Linked DNA regions of Astyanax mexicanus. The protein of the gene in region 1 purifies or fractionates together with the protein of each later gene. This does not show direct contact. Links are inferred from orthologs where the notes say so. Each region holds a gene or a part of one and is shown on either strand. Other genes may lie near its edges. The genes, in order: rcc1 and ranbp1.

Region 1 (8,918 bases):
TATTTCATGTTAGTATAGTTTAATCTGATTTATATATATCTGGTATCCAAATACCTGGATGGTCTGGCAGGTATTTCATGTTAGTTTAGTTTAATCTGATTTATATATATCTGGTATCCAAATACCTGGATGGTCTGGCAGGTATTTCATGTTAGTATAGTTTAATCTGATTTATATATATCTGGTATCCAAATACCTGGTTGGTCTGGCGGGTATTTCATGTCAGTGCAGTTTAAACTGATTTATATATATCTGGTATCCAAATACCTGGTTGGTCTGGCGGGTATTTCATGTCAGTGTAGTTTAATCTGATTTATATATATCTGGTGTCCAAATACCTGGATGTTGTGGCGGGTATTTCATGTCAGTGCAGTTTAATCTGATTTATATATATATCTGGTATCCAAATACCTGGTTGGTCTGGCAGGTATTTCATGTTAGTTTAGTTTAATCAGATTTATATATATCTGGTGTCCAAATACCTGGATGTTGTGGCGGGTATTTCATGTCAGTGCAGTTTAATCTGATTTATATATATCTGGTATCCAAATACCTGGTTGGTCTGGTGGGTATTTCATGTGCAGGATATGTATCTTATATCGTTTTCATGTTCATGCACTCTATAGTGCTAATAACTTTATTCATATTCCTCAATAGCCTGTGTTACTCTTTGTACTGGTCCTGATATTCAGGGTACATTTACTCTGTTAGTTGTAAAATCTGTGTATTTTGTTTAAAACTGTGATTTTGTAGTAATCTATATTTATTTACTATGATTTTTCCCCAAATAAGTCATAAATCTTGTTATTGTTGAATTTCTTTGTGATAAATAAATGTATATATTTTTTTCTAGGTGGCGATCGTGTGAACAGTCAATCATGAAGATCCATCAGAACTTCTTCTGTACTGTCAAGAACACACTCAAGTGCCTTCTTGTCTTTTAGAGAAAAGTTGGTAAAATGTCCATGCAGTTTTTCCTCTTAATTCTGATACCAGCTCCACAGTAACCGAATACTAGTCTTTATTGCAAGTGAAAAACTTGCTGCATCGTAAACCTTAGACTGCAATGTACAGGGCCATCTCACAAAGTTACTATTTCAGTAATTCAGTTAAAAATGTGAAACTCGTATATTATAAAGATATATTACACACAAAGTGATCTATATTTTAAGCGTGTGAAATGAAAACCTAAAAATCAGTGAATCAGAAAATTAGAATATTATATAAGACCAATTGGTACTTTCTGCAGTGTGGGAAGTGTGCCAAGTCCTGCTGGAAAATGAAATCTGCATCTCCATAAAAGTTGTCAGCAGAGGGAAGAAGCATGAAGTGCTGTAAGATTTTGGGGGGAAACAAAACTGCACCGACTTTAGACTTGATAATAAAACACAGTGGATCAACACCAGCAGATGACAGACATGTCTCTCCAACCATCACTGATCATCAGTAAATTTTACATTTTATTTGGAAATCAAGGGAGAGGAGTCTGGAGGAAGAGTGGAGAGACACACAGTCCAAACTGCATGAGGTCTAGTGTGAAGTTTCCACCAATCAGTGATGGTTTGGAGAGACATGTCTGTCATCTGCTGGTGTTGATCAACTGTGTTTTATTATCAAGTCTAAAGTCAGTGCAGTTTTGTTTTCCCACAAAATATTACAACACTTCATGCTTCCCTCTGCTGACAGCTTTTATGAAGATGAAGATTTCATTTTCCAGCAGGACTTGGCACACTGCCCACACTGCAGAAAGTACCAATTGGTTTTAAATAATATTCTAATTTTCTGATGCACTGATTTTTGGGTTTTCATTGGCTGTAAGCTTCATAATCATCAACAATAAAATAAATAAATGCTTAAAATAGATCACTGTGTTTAATACATCTATATAATGAGTTTCACATTTTTAACCAAATTACTAAAATAAAGTAACTTTTCAAAGATATTACAATTATTTGAGGTGGCCCTGTACACTCTATAGCTAACTTCAAGTAATAATTTTTGTACACAGTACTTTTGATGTTTGATAGTGCACATGTAAAATGTTTAAAATAAAGTGTCTTTCTTTTAACTGGGTGAATAAAGTGACTATTTTTGCATAAGAGGTTGATTATCGTTGGTTAATATTTATATTGTGTAATATAGTAGAAAATAATACAACATTCAGTTTGAGACCACATTAGCCAAAATGTATTTATTTATTTTTTTTATTGGATACACTTTCATTGTTTTATATAATTATTTTTTCATGCATTAACTCTTTACACTGGGACTACAGTTATCCTGAGTCGGAACATAGTTTGCCTCTGTGTCAGATGTATGGGATTTAATACAATCTAGATATAAGGCATGAAAACAATGTTAACAATAAAAGTATGTTTATGAGCATATTGTTTCTAAACTCAAATAGCAAATGTATTAAATTCTGAAGTATACAAAAAGAGAACATTATATTGACCTAAATGTAGTTTCGTTGCGGAACATATTTTCCAGCTTTTTCTATCTAAAAAGGGCACAAAGTTCATTTACATTCTTTAGTCTCAGCAAGTGAGGGTTAGCATGTGCTGTGTCAAAATAAATAGTTGAATTAGCAAACTGTAATTGATGGAAACTATAAAAGGTATTGTCTTTAAAAAATAAACAACCTCAGGTGACAAAGTCTACAATAAAGTTATAACATACATCTTTAAGGTGTGTTTTTTTTTAACATAAAATGAAAAAGAAGTCTGATTAGAGTTGTTGGAAAACAGTGGTAGCAATGACATTTAAAAGCAGGGTCAGCGGATGAGTTAGTTGGTAGGGGCTGTCTTATATCTTGCACAAAGGGCAAAGGAACTCCTCCTCTTCAGGTGAGTTTCCGACACATGAATGGTGGAACCACTTGTTGCATCAGTCACAGGCAATCTAAAAAATCAAGCAATAATTAAAACAATTGATAACATGTCAGATTTTAAATGTATGTTTTCTGACCTTATTTTTGCATTTAAAATCTGTGACAACCAAATAACTCAAAATATATACAGAAACCAAAATTATCTTCATTTGTACCCATTTAGAAGCAGTAGCAGTGAAATAAATCAGATTAAACTAAACTAACATGAAATACCTGCCACAACATCCAGGTATTTGGATACCAGATATATATAAATCTGATTAAACTAAACTAACATGAAATACCCGCCACAACATCCAGGTATTTGGATACCAGATATATATAAATCAGATTAAACTAAACTAACATGAAATACCTGCCAGACCAACCAGGTATTTGGATACCATATATATATAAATCAGATTAAACTATACTAACATGAAATACCCGCCAGACCATCCAGGTATTTGGATACCAGATATATATATAAATCAGATTAAACTATACTAACATGAAATACCCGCCAGACCATCCAGGTATTTGGATACCAGATATATATAAATCAGATTAAACTATACTGACATGAAATACCCGCCAGACCATCCAGGTATTTGGATACCAGATATATATAAATCAGATTAAACTACACTGACATGAAATACCCGCCAGACCAACCAGGTATTTGGATACCAGATATATATAAATCAGATTAAACTATACTAACATGAAATACCCGCCACAACATCCAGGTATTTGGATACCAGATATATATATAAATCAGATTAAACTATACTAACATGAAATACCCGCCACAACATCCAGGTATTTGGATACCAGATATATATATAAATCAGATTAAACTGCACTGACATGAAATACCCGCCAGACCAACCAGGTATTTGGATACCAGATATATATAAATCAGATTGAACTAAACTAACATGAAATCCCCCCAGACCAACCAGGTATGTAAGCAAGATACTAAACAGATATGGTCACCTCAATCGAACTAAATTAGGTGTAATTTAAGATTCAGATGCCCCAACACTGCTGTACATTCAATAATATTGTTCAGCAAAGCTAACTTTGGGGCGTTTTGGAGCTTTACATTGATAAATAAATGGAATTGAGCCTCAGATATTACACAGCACCATAAATAAACACTGTTCTTCCTAGATTTTAATAATTGTATTCGTTACGTGCATTTTTTATTTCACAAACAATGTGTTTTAAAGCTTATACTGTACCTTTCTTGCTCCAGCGGTTTCTTTTTTCGGCAGCAGATTCACACCAGCCTTTTGAATTGTGCGGGTTCCTCTCTGCGCATGCTCCTTGACCCTATTCAAGTCCCTCCCCTTACGACAACAGCCTTCCCACAACTCCGCCCCCAAAAATACGTCATGCACGAAACCCCTGGTTTTTAGTGAGAGCCGTTTATCCAGATCTGTTTTAACATCAGCAGCTCCGACTAGCTGCCTGAACTTCCCCCACTGACCCTCCTTTGCAAGCTGATTGGCTGTTTCTCCTGAAAGGCGGGACTTTCTCCTTGAACCGGCTCCACGATTGGTTAAGAGACACAGAGCGGTCAGTGCCCTGTCTCCTCAATAATATATATATTTTTATTGTAATATAATACGGGACATTTACGGGAAAATACTAATGCGAGAGGAGGGCGGGAAAGAGGAGTAAAATACGGTAGGTTCCCGGCCAAAACGGGAGACTTGACAGGTATGTGGTAAATTCCCATTCAAAATGTATTTAATAAAGAGGTTTTATGTTTTAGGATGTACATCAGTTACTGTAGGTGTAATCTGGGCAGACGTAGTACAAGTCAAAAAAGTAAAAGTTGAAGTGCTCTTTAAACCCACCTTCCCTTAAAAAAAACATTGTAGATTAATTTGAGAAGAGTTCCCATAAGAAAGAGTCAGAAAAAATATAAAAATTTAGATTCAAATCAGACACACATACTTTTATGTACAAAGGAAAGGAGTATTCAGCCGATAAGAAGAAAAACATTTTTTAATATTTCTATAAAACAATATCGTTATCTGGTCTAATTTAAACAACATTTTAGTGAAGTAACTCAACTTCCTTACTATACATCTCTGAATCTGGGTCAGTGTGGCGAAGGGTTGCCAGGTTCAACAAAAATAATCAATCCTAAGTCAGTCTAAAAGCCACTTTCTGAAACTTAAACTAGCAAAAAATATACTGCCTGTCTGTCACACGTTTAACAATTAGCAAAACAACTATGAGTGTACGATTTATCAATATTGCTATGTACCTTAAAGTCATTATAACAGTTTTATATCCCAGTCAAACAAGACTTTTACTTACTCTATTTTGTTCTTGCCTTTTCTTTAGATTTTTTTTTAAGTAGCCTAAAAAATGCACCTCTAAATTTCCACCAGCGACTGGATTTTAAAACAAGCCCAAATTGACGGATAAAACGCGAACCTGGCAACTCTGGTGTGTCGGGTCTCCTCCGCTCCAGCAGGTGGTGTGTGTGTTCTGGTGTCAGGGAATAAATGAAAGCTCGAGGCGCTGAACTCGTTTTCACACTCAGAGGAGAGAGCGGGGAGACCGGGCTGAGAGAGACAGACGAGCCACAGACCGATACACCGCCGTTAACCTGCTGATTTACGAGGTAAGAGCACCTTTAGAACAGCACGAGTCTTACAGAGGAGCACTGCGGGCCGGCTCCCACACTGTGTACCGCCGCGCCTGCAGCCCGGGGCTGGGGATCATGCCGGCTAGCAGCTGCAGCTAGCCAGCGTTAGTTAGGTATGTTCAGTGACACTGGGGCTTTTAGCTACTGAACTAATGAACCGGCGAGCTGCAGTTTTCCCTCTTTAGTTTGAGCAGTAGCTGGTAGTTGGTGTTGCTGTAAAAATAATACATATAATACCGGAAGTTGGAGGAGTTTAGTGCCGCTCTGTGCTTTAGCTTGAGTTAGTTAACGTTATTTAGTTAGCTAACTGTACTGTAGTTAGGTTAGCCACGTTAGCCTGCTAACGCTAGCTCCTCCACAGACACCGACAGACCCACGTTGGGGGGACTGGCGCTGTTTAAACCTGACGCGGGATCCGTTTGTGCTCAGCTAAGTCTGTGTTAGCCACCGCCTGTCCCTCCCCGAGCCTTTAAAACGACTAAAAACACAGGAGCTGCCCTGTGTTGATCCCGTGGCCTGTTCACACATCCAGCACTTGTGTAGAACACGAGCGCCCGTCAGTCAGCAGCGCGTACTGCCCCAAAAGATCAACAGCTGTAACTTTACTCCATTAATGAATGGCACATTGAGCTCCAGCCTCCTGCTGCTGCGCTGTGACTGTACTCTACTGTACACACTGTCCTTATTATCCCAACAAATAGAGGACAAACTGCTGCCTGAGACTGAGTTCATGAATTACAGGAGGATCTCTAAAGGGAAGTTTAAGCTAAACGCGATAAAGCAGTCAACTTCTCTTAAACACAGGGGTGAACTTAATCAAATTTATACCTAGAAGAATATAAAATGATACCCTTGTTCAACCCCGAAGAGGAGCCCATGGTGACACAGGTGCGATACAGACACTTTAAAAGATGTACAAGGTTATTTACAGCCCTCTGTCCTTTACTTTATTTAACCCTCTCAGATCCTGCATCCACTACAGTGGACATGTAATTTTTGTTGTTGCACATAGCACTATTAAAGAGCTACTGTCCATCAGAATATACTATGAACCAGCCAATAAACAAGTTTATAAACCAGTGAATAAGTACAACTTAAACATGGCAGAATATAGCAAGATATAGTGAGGCAAGAAATTGTAATATCCTTTCAATTTTTTTATATATTTATATCTATTTTATATAGTATTCAACCACTAGCTGGATTGTTATAATTCAAATTTGAATGTAAAATAATTTAGTGTGAATAATTATTTGCCTATAAAACCTTATAAAACCAAAAGTTTCTCAAGACTTATCCTGGGTATATAAATAAATAAAAAAAATAATAATTAATGTGGGAATTCTGGGCCAATATCAATTATTACCAATGTATATTGTTTGTCTGCTGATTACAACTGAGATTTTTTCAATTTTTTTGGTTTTATTGTTATTTAGCTAGCGGAGCAAGTAAGTTTATCTCCAGTGCACCGCTTAATATCAAACCACTCTTTAATATAAATTCTTCGAGTTTTGTGCTTAAATTCAGCAACCAGGAACAGCTCTCTGAAGAAAAAAGTTATTTGATGCTCACAAGGCAAAGAAGACATTAAAGCAAACCATAGAAATCAGCTTCTACCATGTGGTGTATTAGGAAATTACAATTCAGGGAACATGTGGAGGATCAAAACGAGAAACTTTCTTTATTGATTGTTGTTTAATTAATTCATTAATTTTATTTATTTATTTCTTTTTTAGATTTTTGAGCTGCCATGCCTGCTAAAAAAGCCCCAAAGAGACAAAAAGAGGTTGAGGCGGAGGACTCTGCAGCCTTAAAAAAATTGAAAGGTAATATATACATATTTAAATAAATGTTGCTGGATTGTGATCTTTTTATAAATTACTTTTTTTAAAAAACACTTGTGCAATTGTCGTATTTGAATAATCTTCATTATTTTTGTGTTCGTAAACAGTGTCTCACAAGAGTCATGGACAAGAAAAGGGACTGGTCCTGGTTCTTGGACAGGGAGATGTGGGTCAGCTAGGCCTGGGAGAAGATGTGCTAGAAAGGAAGAAACCAGCTCTGGTGAATCTCCCAGAAAGCATTGTGCAGGCAGTGGCAGGGGGCATGCACACAGTTTGCCTCAGTGACACAGGAAATGTAAGTGTTTAGCTCTGCACAATTTTATTTAAAGAAATCTTAAAAAATTCACATGTAAATTTGTTATAGTGATGTTAGTGTTGTGGTGCCTCTTCTTTTGACAAGAGTGTTAGTGAGACACTAAAGCATATTTTCTTTCAAAAACAAAAGGTCGTATTGTGATTTTACACTTGCGCTATTCACAAATACATTGAAAAATGACATTTGTATGTTATTTGTATGATGTTTATCATCGTTGCAGGTCTACACCTTTGGCTGTAATGATGAGGGCGCTCTGGGTAGGGATACGTCAGAGGAGGGCACAGAGATGGTTCCGGCTAAGGTGGAGCTAGCAGAGAAGATTGTGCAGGTGTCTGCGGGGGATAGCCACACTGCTGCTCTGACGGAGGAAGGAACGGTCTTCGTCTGGGGCTCTTTCAGGGTAAGGCGTCTTTTAATCAAACAATTGTCTTTATTTAAAACATTTTTGGAAAGGCCACTTATAAACTAATTGCTGCCATCTGATGCACACCATTCTACAAACTGATTAAAGTTGGGTATAGGGAGAAGCAGGTGATGACCACACAATGAGGCAAAGTTATTCTGGACCAAATGTAACAAAATGAACATAGAATGTAACGGGCACAGGAACCTACTGCATCAGAGTTTTGTGTTGTGTTGTCAACTTTCCCAATCAAGCAGGTGATTTGCTTTCTATGGACAGTTATAAATGTGGTTAGGGTTTTGAGTATTAAATTTGTCTGTAAAAATGTCCTTTCTTTCTGTCTTTCTTTCTGTCTTTCTTTGTCTTTCTTTCTTTATTTATTTCTTTATTTCTTTATTTATTTTTCAGGATAACAACGGTATTATTGGTCTTCTTGAACCTATGAAAAAATGTACCGTACCTACCAAAGTCCCCCTGGACAAAGCTGTGATCAAAATTGCATCAGGTGAGGTTTCAGTTTCTTTGTTTCATATATAAAGTGCCAACACTGCACCTTCCATACTAATGAAACACTCCTGTCTCTGCACTAAAGGGAATGACCACCTGGTGATGCTGACTGTGAATGGAGAAATCTACACCTCTGGCTGTGGAGAACAGGGCCAGCTAGGGAGAGTCCCAGAGCGCTTCGCCAATCGAGGGGGCAGGAAGGGATTAAGTATGTGTTATCTTTATTTCAATGATTGCGTGAGATGTGCATAATTTCAAATAAATATACTGTACAAATGGTCTGAGATTTTATTTATTTATTCCCTGTG
Region 2 (9,329 bases), on another chromosome or scaffold:
TTGAGGCTAACTTTGAAAATAGACAGAAAATGGGTGTACATTTTTTTTTCATTTACTAAAAAATGTAATAATGAATCTTCTAGTGAATTTCAGATTTTTCCCTTTTTTCATCTGATGATATAATTCAATTTACTTTTTTTTCACATAAAAATACAGTATAATAATAAGTATTTTAATGCATTTATAATGAATGCCAAAGTGAATATTACCCAACAATATAACTTAAAATGTAAATCTCATATACATAGAAGCATTTAGTAAGTGTACAGGGCAGAATATGAGCTGTAAAATGCATTTCTGGGCCTCCAGCTTGTTAGTAGAGGGTAGTTTGTTGTATATTTGCATAAAGGAAAAATTATTACATATTGTACCTTTAAAGTTTGGTTGTGAGGTGCAGAAATAAAGAAAAACTAAACAGGAAAAATGGATGAAAATCATACTAAATAGAAAAAAAAAATTTTACACCCAATTTTTTTATTTTTATTTAGCGTAAAATGGTCTAATTCAATGAAAAGTCTGAATCTGATCCTTCATAGAGTCCCCTTGGAAGTTGCAACCCCCAGGTTAAGAACCCCTGCTCTAGACCAGGTTAGCATAGGCTAATCACCTGTTATGCTAATTATATTAGCTGGCCAGTTTGTTTACAGAGCAGTTTAGAGAAGGAACACCATCAGTTTTAAGCCTAAAGGACAAAGAACGTTCCAGAAAGAAGGAAAGCAGCCGGAAGATTGAGAAAGAGATAAGATTCCTCCACTGGAGCGTCGCTATATCGAGCCGATACAGCAGAGAGAGGGGGGGTGGAGGAGGGTAGTAAACAGTGTGTGTAAGCAGAGGGGAGGGCACTGATATTTTAAAGTAATTTAATAATTCTGTTATAAACAGGTCGACTCGGGAGCTATAAAACGCTACAAAACCGTGGTTTAAGTGCTAATCAGGAGCACAGTGCACTGCAACAACAACACACACTTTCAAACAAGAGATTTCCAGTTAAAACAGACAAAAAAAATTACATTTTCAACAATTTAGTGGATTCAGAAGAAGTCCAGGAGCAGCTCACCTGTTTCTGACTGGGGCTGAAAAAAAGAAAAAAAATAGAGGAAAATTTGCACAGTTCAATTAGCCTTAAAATATAGATTTATATATATATTTGGTAATAGCTTTACACTGGAGCTTAAAAAGCTATTATAGCTAACTAGCAGTGGAAGGTTATCCCCCACCTATTAGCATAATGCTAACTGCATGTGTAGATTTTTATCTAATATCCAAATTTATAACTTGTTCTGCCCAAGTCTAAATCACAATTTAAATCCCAATTCTTGTCATACATTGATTAAAAATCGATAGCTATATTGATGTCTAGATTGATATTTGATAATGTGGACAAACAGAAACCACATTTGACCAGTGTAGACACTCAAATCAGATTTTAGCGAATCATTTATGTCAATTATTCACAATGCGACAAACAGCGACTTCACTAAATTCAGAGTAAGAAAAGTGTGAGGATACCTTGAAACAACAGAAGCACATTCAGATACAGAGTGGTGGGATGAAATAAAGATAATGCGATAATTATTGATACGTGGATCTTTAGTAGCGCAGATGCTGTGAGGAACCATACAGTATTATCCTCTGAGTTGAGTATCTAGGATTGCTGAATAATCAATATCATAATATTATCGTATGGTTAGATGCCCTGCAGATATGTTTGCGATGTCAAGACAGGCAAGTCCGATCCCATCACTCAACAGCAAATCAGAACATTATACATCATCAAATCTGATTTAAGGAACAAATCCCATTTACATGCAGTCTGAACACCATATACACAGCCATATATGATTTAGTCTTTATTATTTGGTTACATTTTAACATTGATATAGCCCAAGATTCTACTGCAAAAATACAAGAACAAACTTCAGATTAATGTCTACACTAATTGAGCACCTTTCGATTCCAAGCTGTTACCAATCTGAATCCAATTTTCGCTAAACTGGTTAGCTTACGAAAACCTCTGAGTTTCGTAGCGTTGGCTCCCCCTACAGGAGTTAGGAGGTAGTATTTTTTTTTATTTATGTTCGCGGATGTCTTAACAAAGTAAAACAACAAAAGAAAAAGAAGAAAAAAAAGAAAAAGCAATATGCTGCACAATTAGGAGGGTGTGTGATTTCTCTTATAGAGGGATGGAGGGGTTATAAACAAGTGCAAAGAGGAGGAGAAGGAGTGTGGGGAGGGAGGGAGGGAGGTTTTGGGGGGGTTTGGGGGTATTTAAAATAAAAAGAAGTATATGTATATTTAAAAATAAAATAATAAAATAAACTCTGTGACTTGCGAGTGCAGTCTGAGGCCTATTGCTGTGTTATTGGTGTTTCAATTTACATAATGTAACATTGTTCTTCTTTTTCACAATTAGGGATATTGTGTGTTTGATATATTGTGATACATTCTGCGATGTATTTAGTTGAGTTAGTTTTGTCCGGTTTCATACTTCAGTTCAAACTTTACTACACCCTTTTAGTCCTCATCTCCTACATAGGCGGAATCTCCCTATACTAAACACACACTGATTAGTTTGTAAAATTATGTATTATTATATAGATGTATTACACACAGAGTGATTTATTTTAAGCGTTTATTTATTTTATTGTAAGTGATTATTGTTTACAGCCAATGGAAACCCAAAACTCAGAGTCTCAGGAAATTAGAATATTATATAAGACTAATTGGTACTTTTTCCTGCTGGAAAATGAAATCCGCATCTCCAGAAAAGTTTTTCTCAGCAGAGGGAAGAAGCATGAAGTGCTGTAAGATTTTGTGGGAAAACAAAACTGCACTGACTTTAGACTTGATAATAAAACACAGTGGATCAACATCAGCAGATGACACGTCTCTCCAAACCATCACTGATCATCAGTAAATTTTACATTTCATTTAAAGGAAATCAAGGGATCAGAGTCTGGAGGAAGAGTGGAGAGACACACAGTCCAAAGTGCTCGAGGCCTAGTGTGAAGTTTCCACCAATCAGTGATGGTTTGGAGAGTCATGTCTGTCATCTGCTGGTGTTGATCCACTGTGTTTTATTATCAAGTCTAAAGTCAGTGCAGTTTTGTTTTCCCAGAATATCTTACAGCTTTCCTCTGCTACTGACAACTTTTATGGAGATGCAGATTTCATTTTCCAGCAGGAGTTGCACGTTGCTCACACTACCAAAAGTACCAATGTTTTTTTTTTTTCTGAGACACTGATTTTTGGATTTTTATTTATTTTAGATTTGGAATTGAATCCCAGTCTCCCCCATGGTAGCTCACTGGCATGCAGTGGTGGTATCCCCACAGCTATATTCTGCACTGGTCTAAATCTAAACTGGTCAACCAGTTTAACCATGATTACCAGCTTAAACCAGCCTGGATGTTTTTATTTTCAGCAGGGACACATCATTTCCTGTACGGCTCAGCTGACCCTCTGTTATCATCATCCTCCGAGCTGGGCTGGACGTCCTCCACAGCTATATACACACAGTTCGACCTGGACTACAGTGTGTGTGTTTAGTTATACTGGTGGGAGTATGATATATCTCCTTTTCTGCCCTCTGTTAAAGAAAGGACAGATATAAACAGAGACAGGCCCTGTACTCCCAGCATTCCTCCTGCCTGCACCCCACAGGCCAGTTCTAATACTGGTTATACTGGGGCTTTTCTGTGTGCACGTGGCGCCCCCTGTTGGATCTCAGAGAGAGAGAAAAAAGGAATAAGGGTGATCTGAAAATGATGTCCTTTATGTTCTTCAGGCTTCAGAGATCTCTCTCTGAGAGTTATATAACCCTTATAACCCTCACAGGCATGCAGTGGGTGAGGGGTAGTTTATGACCTTTATGTGCATGAAAGTATCCATCCATGCATTTATTCTCATACTAATGATTTTATCCATCAGTCAGTTTAGATGTGGGATTATAACGATGATAATTTATTAGGGTGATTACAATATTAGAGTGAAATCATTAAAATTTACTAGAGAAAACTGTTTAAAATAACTGGAGGAGACTATATACTTTAAACCTGTTGTTTATTCACAGTCATTGTGGATTATTGTGTTAGCTGTAAAGCTAATCTAGCTAGCTAACAAATAATACTTGTTACATAATGGTGTATCAAATGGACAAAGACACAGTTACAAACAGTATTTTTATACATAAGAACTCCATGCTGTGTTCTTTTACTCTGATGTATAAAAGATTTACTTCTATTTGAGCATCACCTTTAAGCAACTTTACCTGTGGACTGGAGGGTCTCTGATAAGCTAAAAACGTTTAAATCTTAGAAAGTATATCATTAAACAGAATTTTAATAATGAAAATATAACAGTAAACAGTAAAATCCCCTTTCCCAATTAAACACGAATGTTTATGCTGTTATTGTCTGATACTTTTTTTAAATTTAGTGTGATAATGCCCTGTACCCTTGGATCTCTGATCCTAGAATCACCTATTATCTATCTAAATTATTATACTTCTTCTGATATGACCCACTCACCTCTCATGGGGCGTACAGGGGCCTGAGTTCCTCAAACCTTGATTCTTATAATGCATTTCCATGACTTATTAAAAGCGTGGGAACAAGATAATTAGGTCGTGGGGATGACTTATATGGCCAAGAGCTATTATTTTTTCAGTTCCCAAGCCTTAGAGAGTTACTAAACCCTCTGATTTTAGCTGACTCCACCCTCAGCTCAAATTATATAAATGCAAAAAACAAATGGGAGTGGCACTGTGTGATGTATGGGTTTAGAGGCAGGGCAGAAGGGAGATTTGATTGAGCTGAGCAGTGTGCCTCTGATAACCAAAGTACATGATAACATAATCCTCGCCTATAGCACGAAGGAGGAAATGACTGCAATAAAAGTGTTTTTTTAAAGGTTTATACATTTTTTTCAGCTATAAATGAAAAAATATAGTATAGGGTTTTGTGCCTTTTTAATAAGTTGTGGCCACGCATTTTCATTATTCATTATTATTATTATTTTTACATGATGTCACTGAAGGTGCGTCATGCTTGTGTGTTACTTTCTGTGCTCTTACCGCTCACTTTACTACGCTAAAATCAAAAGTACAAATTTTATCGATTTGTTTTACGTTTATTTAATCGATTAATGGAGATGTACGTAATCTACAAGTGACGTCACCGCCGGTGCCGGCGATGACGACACGCCGGTTCAGTGCGCGCGCGAAAGCAGGAGCATTTTCTCCCTCCCTCTTCCCTCCTCACGGCCGGAGCGAAAAACATCCACTAAAACTCAACAATCCGCAAACATCCACAAAACTATGGCAGATCCTAAGGTAAGGACGGTGTTCTGGGGAACGTCTGGGGGTCCTGCGGCCGTCTGCTGCGATTTTTAATCGTTAGGATGGTTTTAATCCGCCTGTTTTTGGGCTGGAAGCGGAGATGGTGAATAGTAAAAGCCGGCTGTTGCTTTACTGCAGCGAGCGGCCAGTCCGGCTACCGGACACGAACCCGGGCTAGCGGGCGGCGGGAATGCCCTGATATTTGTGGCGTTTTGTTGTTTTAGACGATTTTTAAAGCTGTAAAACTAATATGCGCTTTTTCCGCACTCCTACAGCTCGGTTTACCGCCTGTTTCCGAGCAGGTTAGCTCTGCTTTAGCCGCGGCGGCTAGCTAATGTATCTGTAAATAAATGAATAAATCGGTTTTATTAATTAAAGCTTCATTTTATTGTTGAATATATTGGCAGTCATTATTTGGTTAAAGTGTTAAATCCTTGTGTTAATGTAAAGGTACCTAAATAAATAAACTAACCTAGCTAGCTAGCTAACTAAGCTAACTACTATATGTCGGCTTGCTGCCTAAGCTAACGTAACTAACTAGCCGTTCTACCTTAAATGCTGGGCGCCAGAATGAAACCGCTGCGGGAGTTAACGTTAAGGTGGACCGGCTAATTCGAGCATCAAACCAAACTTCAACCTCTCAAGCTTGCGATTTTTTTAATTTATAAAGTTTTTTATATTTATTTTGATTTAATTGATTAAATAATTAAAGGCCCAACTTGAAATAGTAAGCTTAAATAGCAAACCTGTTGAGCACCATTAGCTAGCTCAAGTTAGCTAATACAACTGCAAGGCCTAATAAGCTAACATATTGGCTAAAGCTAATGAATGCTAATGGATAGCTTGCTGGCTTTTGATTCATTGATTGACGTTTTGCTCACTAAATAAAGTAACCAGTATCTTAACCTGCAGTGCACCTAAATGCAACGATGAGTTTGAATGAAAAGTAAAAAAGACTAATAGCTATGTTTTGTTTAGCATTAGCAGTTAGCATTAGCTTTTTAGCATTAGCATGCTCCTGGAGGAGCACATGGGCTTCAGATGACTGGTGTCCAGTTCAGCCCAGTACAGTGGTGGGTGGTTCTGAAGGTGCTGGGAGTTAACTGGTGGGGTTAATGAGGGCGGTGAAAGCAGGTGAATCACCATAATTGCTGGGTAATGTTGCTGGTCTTTGGCTTTGTTATAGGTGATGATCTCTCTTGGGTTTAGACAAAGTTTTGGACCACCTACAATGGATCTAAAGGAGAGGGAAAGTCTATTGTAATGGTGTGAGACTAGGCCTTGTGAGCCTGATTGGGTCTAAGATGGGATAAACTAGTTCATTTAATTCTAGGATGTCTAGGTTTTAAGACATTAGAATTAGGCATGAGCAAAATGTTTGGAACTTTCTTCATGGAATGAATAGGATGCAGAAGCTTGTGCATCCTGGTTTAAGTCGTGATAACAATCACTTGGCAAAGCCCTAGTAACCATCTGAGACTGTAATCTGGGAATCAATAAAATGCTTTAACATAAACATTTATAAGTTTGCAGTTTATAGATTATTTTGGTACTAGACTAGTCAACTAATCTGGTTATTTTTCCAATTAGTGAATGGCTATTGCAGTATTCAGTATTCTGTGACCATGGTCCACAACTAAGGCTCCAACTAATGATGATTTTGGTAGTCGACTAATCCGACTATTACTTTTCTGGATATTCTCAATTAATCAGCACTTATTTCTGCAAAGCCTTCCGTCTCTGCGTGCTGTGGGTACGGCCTCTGTAGACTTAAAACATTAGAAACAAGTGAAAGTGGCAATTAAATACCATCCTTTGACTTTGGAAAGTACTGCTATTTAGCGAGTAAATGTGTAATCTGTTGTGTTTGGACACTTTTGGAGACACAGGTTGAGGCTGGAACTCCGATACTTTGTGTAGTTCTGCAAATGAAAGATTAGTCATTGAACATTTGGAGTCGACACATTTTTTTATAGTCGATGCTGTTGATTTTTTTCAACTAATCGTAGGAGCTCTGTTCACAGCCTCACCTGCTGAAGACTGCACTTTTTGTGAATGTTACCCTGTTGTTCAGTCTCTGCTTTAATGTAACCCACTTTATAATCCAGTAGCATCCACATCAAATGTCAGAACAAGGCATCTACCTGCCAATGTGATCAAAACCACAGAAAATACAATAACAGGGCAACTTACCTGTATTCCATAGCAGTCACCATATGTTTCACCATATAACACTAGATAGCAACATGTTTTTTAGCTATTGTCTAGAAGTGGGAACCATTCTGCATAATCTTCTGGAAACATTTTATTTAAACATTTATTTTCCTACGCCCATGAGATTCACAAAATTGTGGTTCACTGTACTGAAACATACAGATTCTGCTTATTTTACAGTTATAATCTGGCCCAAAATGTGGGTTTACTACCTTACAACATACCACTTTTTGCTTCATACTGTGCTAGTAAGTGCTGTTGGCCAGCCATCGCCTCAATCACCACCTCACCTGCTGAAGTCTACACACCTGTGAATGTCACCCTGTTCTTCAGCCTTTAACTTAACATAAAACAAGTTCCCATAGCAAATTAAATAATGACTACCTGAAATACCAGGATAAAGCAGCCACCTGGAACACCAGATCAGCCTTTAGCTGTTCTAAGAAACCTATTTTGTGTGGAAACCAGATGGACAGGTGTCACATTTGGCATTCTAACAGTATCATATCATCTGTTGTCTTCCGTTTACCTTGGAAGTCAGATGTTGGAGCTAGAAATTTCACCTCGCCTGAGTTGGCAGCATTGTAGTTAAACATTACAATAAATTTGCACAATTTCAGAATGTTTCAAACAGTTATCTAAAGATAAATTGGTTTGGCATTCATTTATCAGTGTATTTTGGTGAATATAACCAAAATATCTCACTCTTCATGCCCCAGGTTAGCACCAGATGAGCGTCTAAAATTTCCAAAAGCCATGTTTATATGGAATGTAGCATTAATTGCATTCTGTGAATCAGAAAATTAAAATTTGTAAAGTTGAGTAGATTTGAGTAGTTTGATGGATCATCGTCTACCTCACGTTTTGGGTGTGGGGGGTCTCTGGCGGTGGGTGGGGTGTGGCGATACCCCCGTTAAACCCGGACTCTTCCGGTGCGCCGGGCGTTGGCGTGGTCCGGGCTCGTGGTTCAGTACCAGCAGGCGGGAGCCTGTCTGCTGCAGCAAATCAGAGACAAAAGCAGATCCACAGACTGAGCTCTTTAAATCCCCCCTGCCTTTCATTCTGCAGATCTACTGAACCGACGGGGCGTCGAGGGCCCCCCGGGGCCGGCTCAGACGTGTAGCGGCTCTCAGAGAAAGTGAAACCAATACCAACACTTTCTACAAAACTGGGGACTTTAGCGTGGTTCACCAGTAGTAGTGCACGTTTATAAGATTTCCACACCGATGAGCAAAGAGTAATGAGGGTTTTTAGTGGGGTTAGAAAGCTGTCTTTGGCTGTATTTTAGGTGAATTCTGAAGTTTTTTTTTATGTTTAGGTTGGTTTAGAGGTTTTGATTTGTTAAAACATTAAATATTTAAATAGGGACATTTTGGACTGATCCCGATATAGCGCATGTATTTAAACTTTAAAACCTTTAAACCTTCTTTTTAAATGAATAGGTTAAATAAAACAATAGATTTTATCGTAACAAGGCCAGCGTCACATACCATAAACACATCAGCAAGTAATGTTTTGACCAATCAGCCAATGCCAATGATTCAAAAGAAACAAAAAGCGCAAATAGCAGTCAATAAAAATGTTATAATCGATATTTTGATTGTGCATCCCTAAATTTAAGTTTAGCAATCACTATTAGGCTTAAGTTTTATAGCTTTCTGACTAAAAAAGAAGTTTGTTTGTTTGTTTACAGCTAGTATAATGATACTCACATGACTATGTTGATTTTGGTATTAAAGTAGTGTATAAACATTTTAAATTTGTTTGGGTTTTAGAT

The links.
Region 2: the proteins of rcc1 (region 1) and ranbp1 purify together in Homo sapiens (affinity purification with mass spectrometry; 3 studies listed by BioGRID and IntAct, counting the BioPlex papers as one, with this or other methods). This does not show direct contact. The link is inferred for Astyanax mexicanus from reciprocal best matches to the Homo sapiens genes RCC1 and RANBP1.

Annotation. Positions count from the first base shown.
Region 1 is NC_064413.1:32,419,318-32,428,235, reverse strand, and holds the start of rcc1 (regulator of chromosome condensation), read left to right. Parts: upstream 1-5,380; 5' UTR 5,381-5,516; intron 5,517-7,276; 5' UTR 7,277-7,290; coding exon 7,291-7,366; intron 7,367-7,491; coding exon 7,492-7,679; intron 7,680-7,920; coding exon 7,921-8,100; intron 8,101-8,511; coding exon 8,512-8,608; intron 8,609-8,695; coding exon 8,696-8,818; intron 8,819-8,918. UniProt on the Homo sapiens protein: Guanine-nucleotide releasing factor that promotes the exchange of Ran-bound GDP by GTP, and thereby plays an important role in RAN-mediated functions in nuclear import and mitosis.
Region 2 is NC_064429.1:10,914,671-10,923,999, forward strand, and holds the start of ranbp1 (ran-specific GTPase-activating protein), read left to right. Parts: upstream 1-5,192; 5' UTR 5,193-5,317; coding exon 5,318-5,332; intron 5,333-9,329. UniProt on the Homo sapiens protein: Plays a role in RAN-dependent nucleocytoplasmic transport. Alleviates the TNPO1-dependent inhibition of RAN GTPase activity and mediates the dissociation of RAN from proteins involved in transport into the nucleus.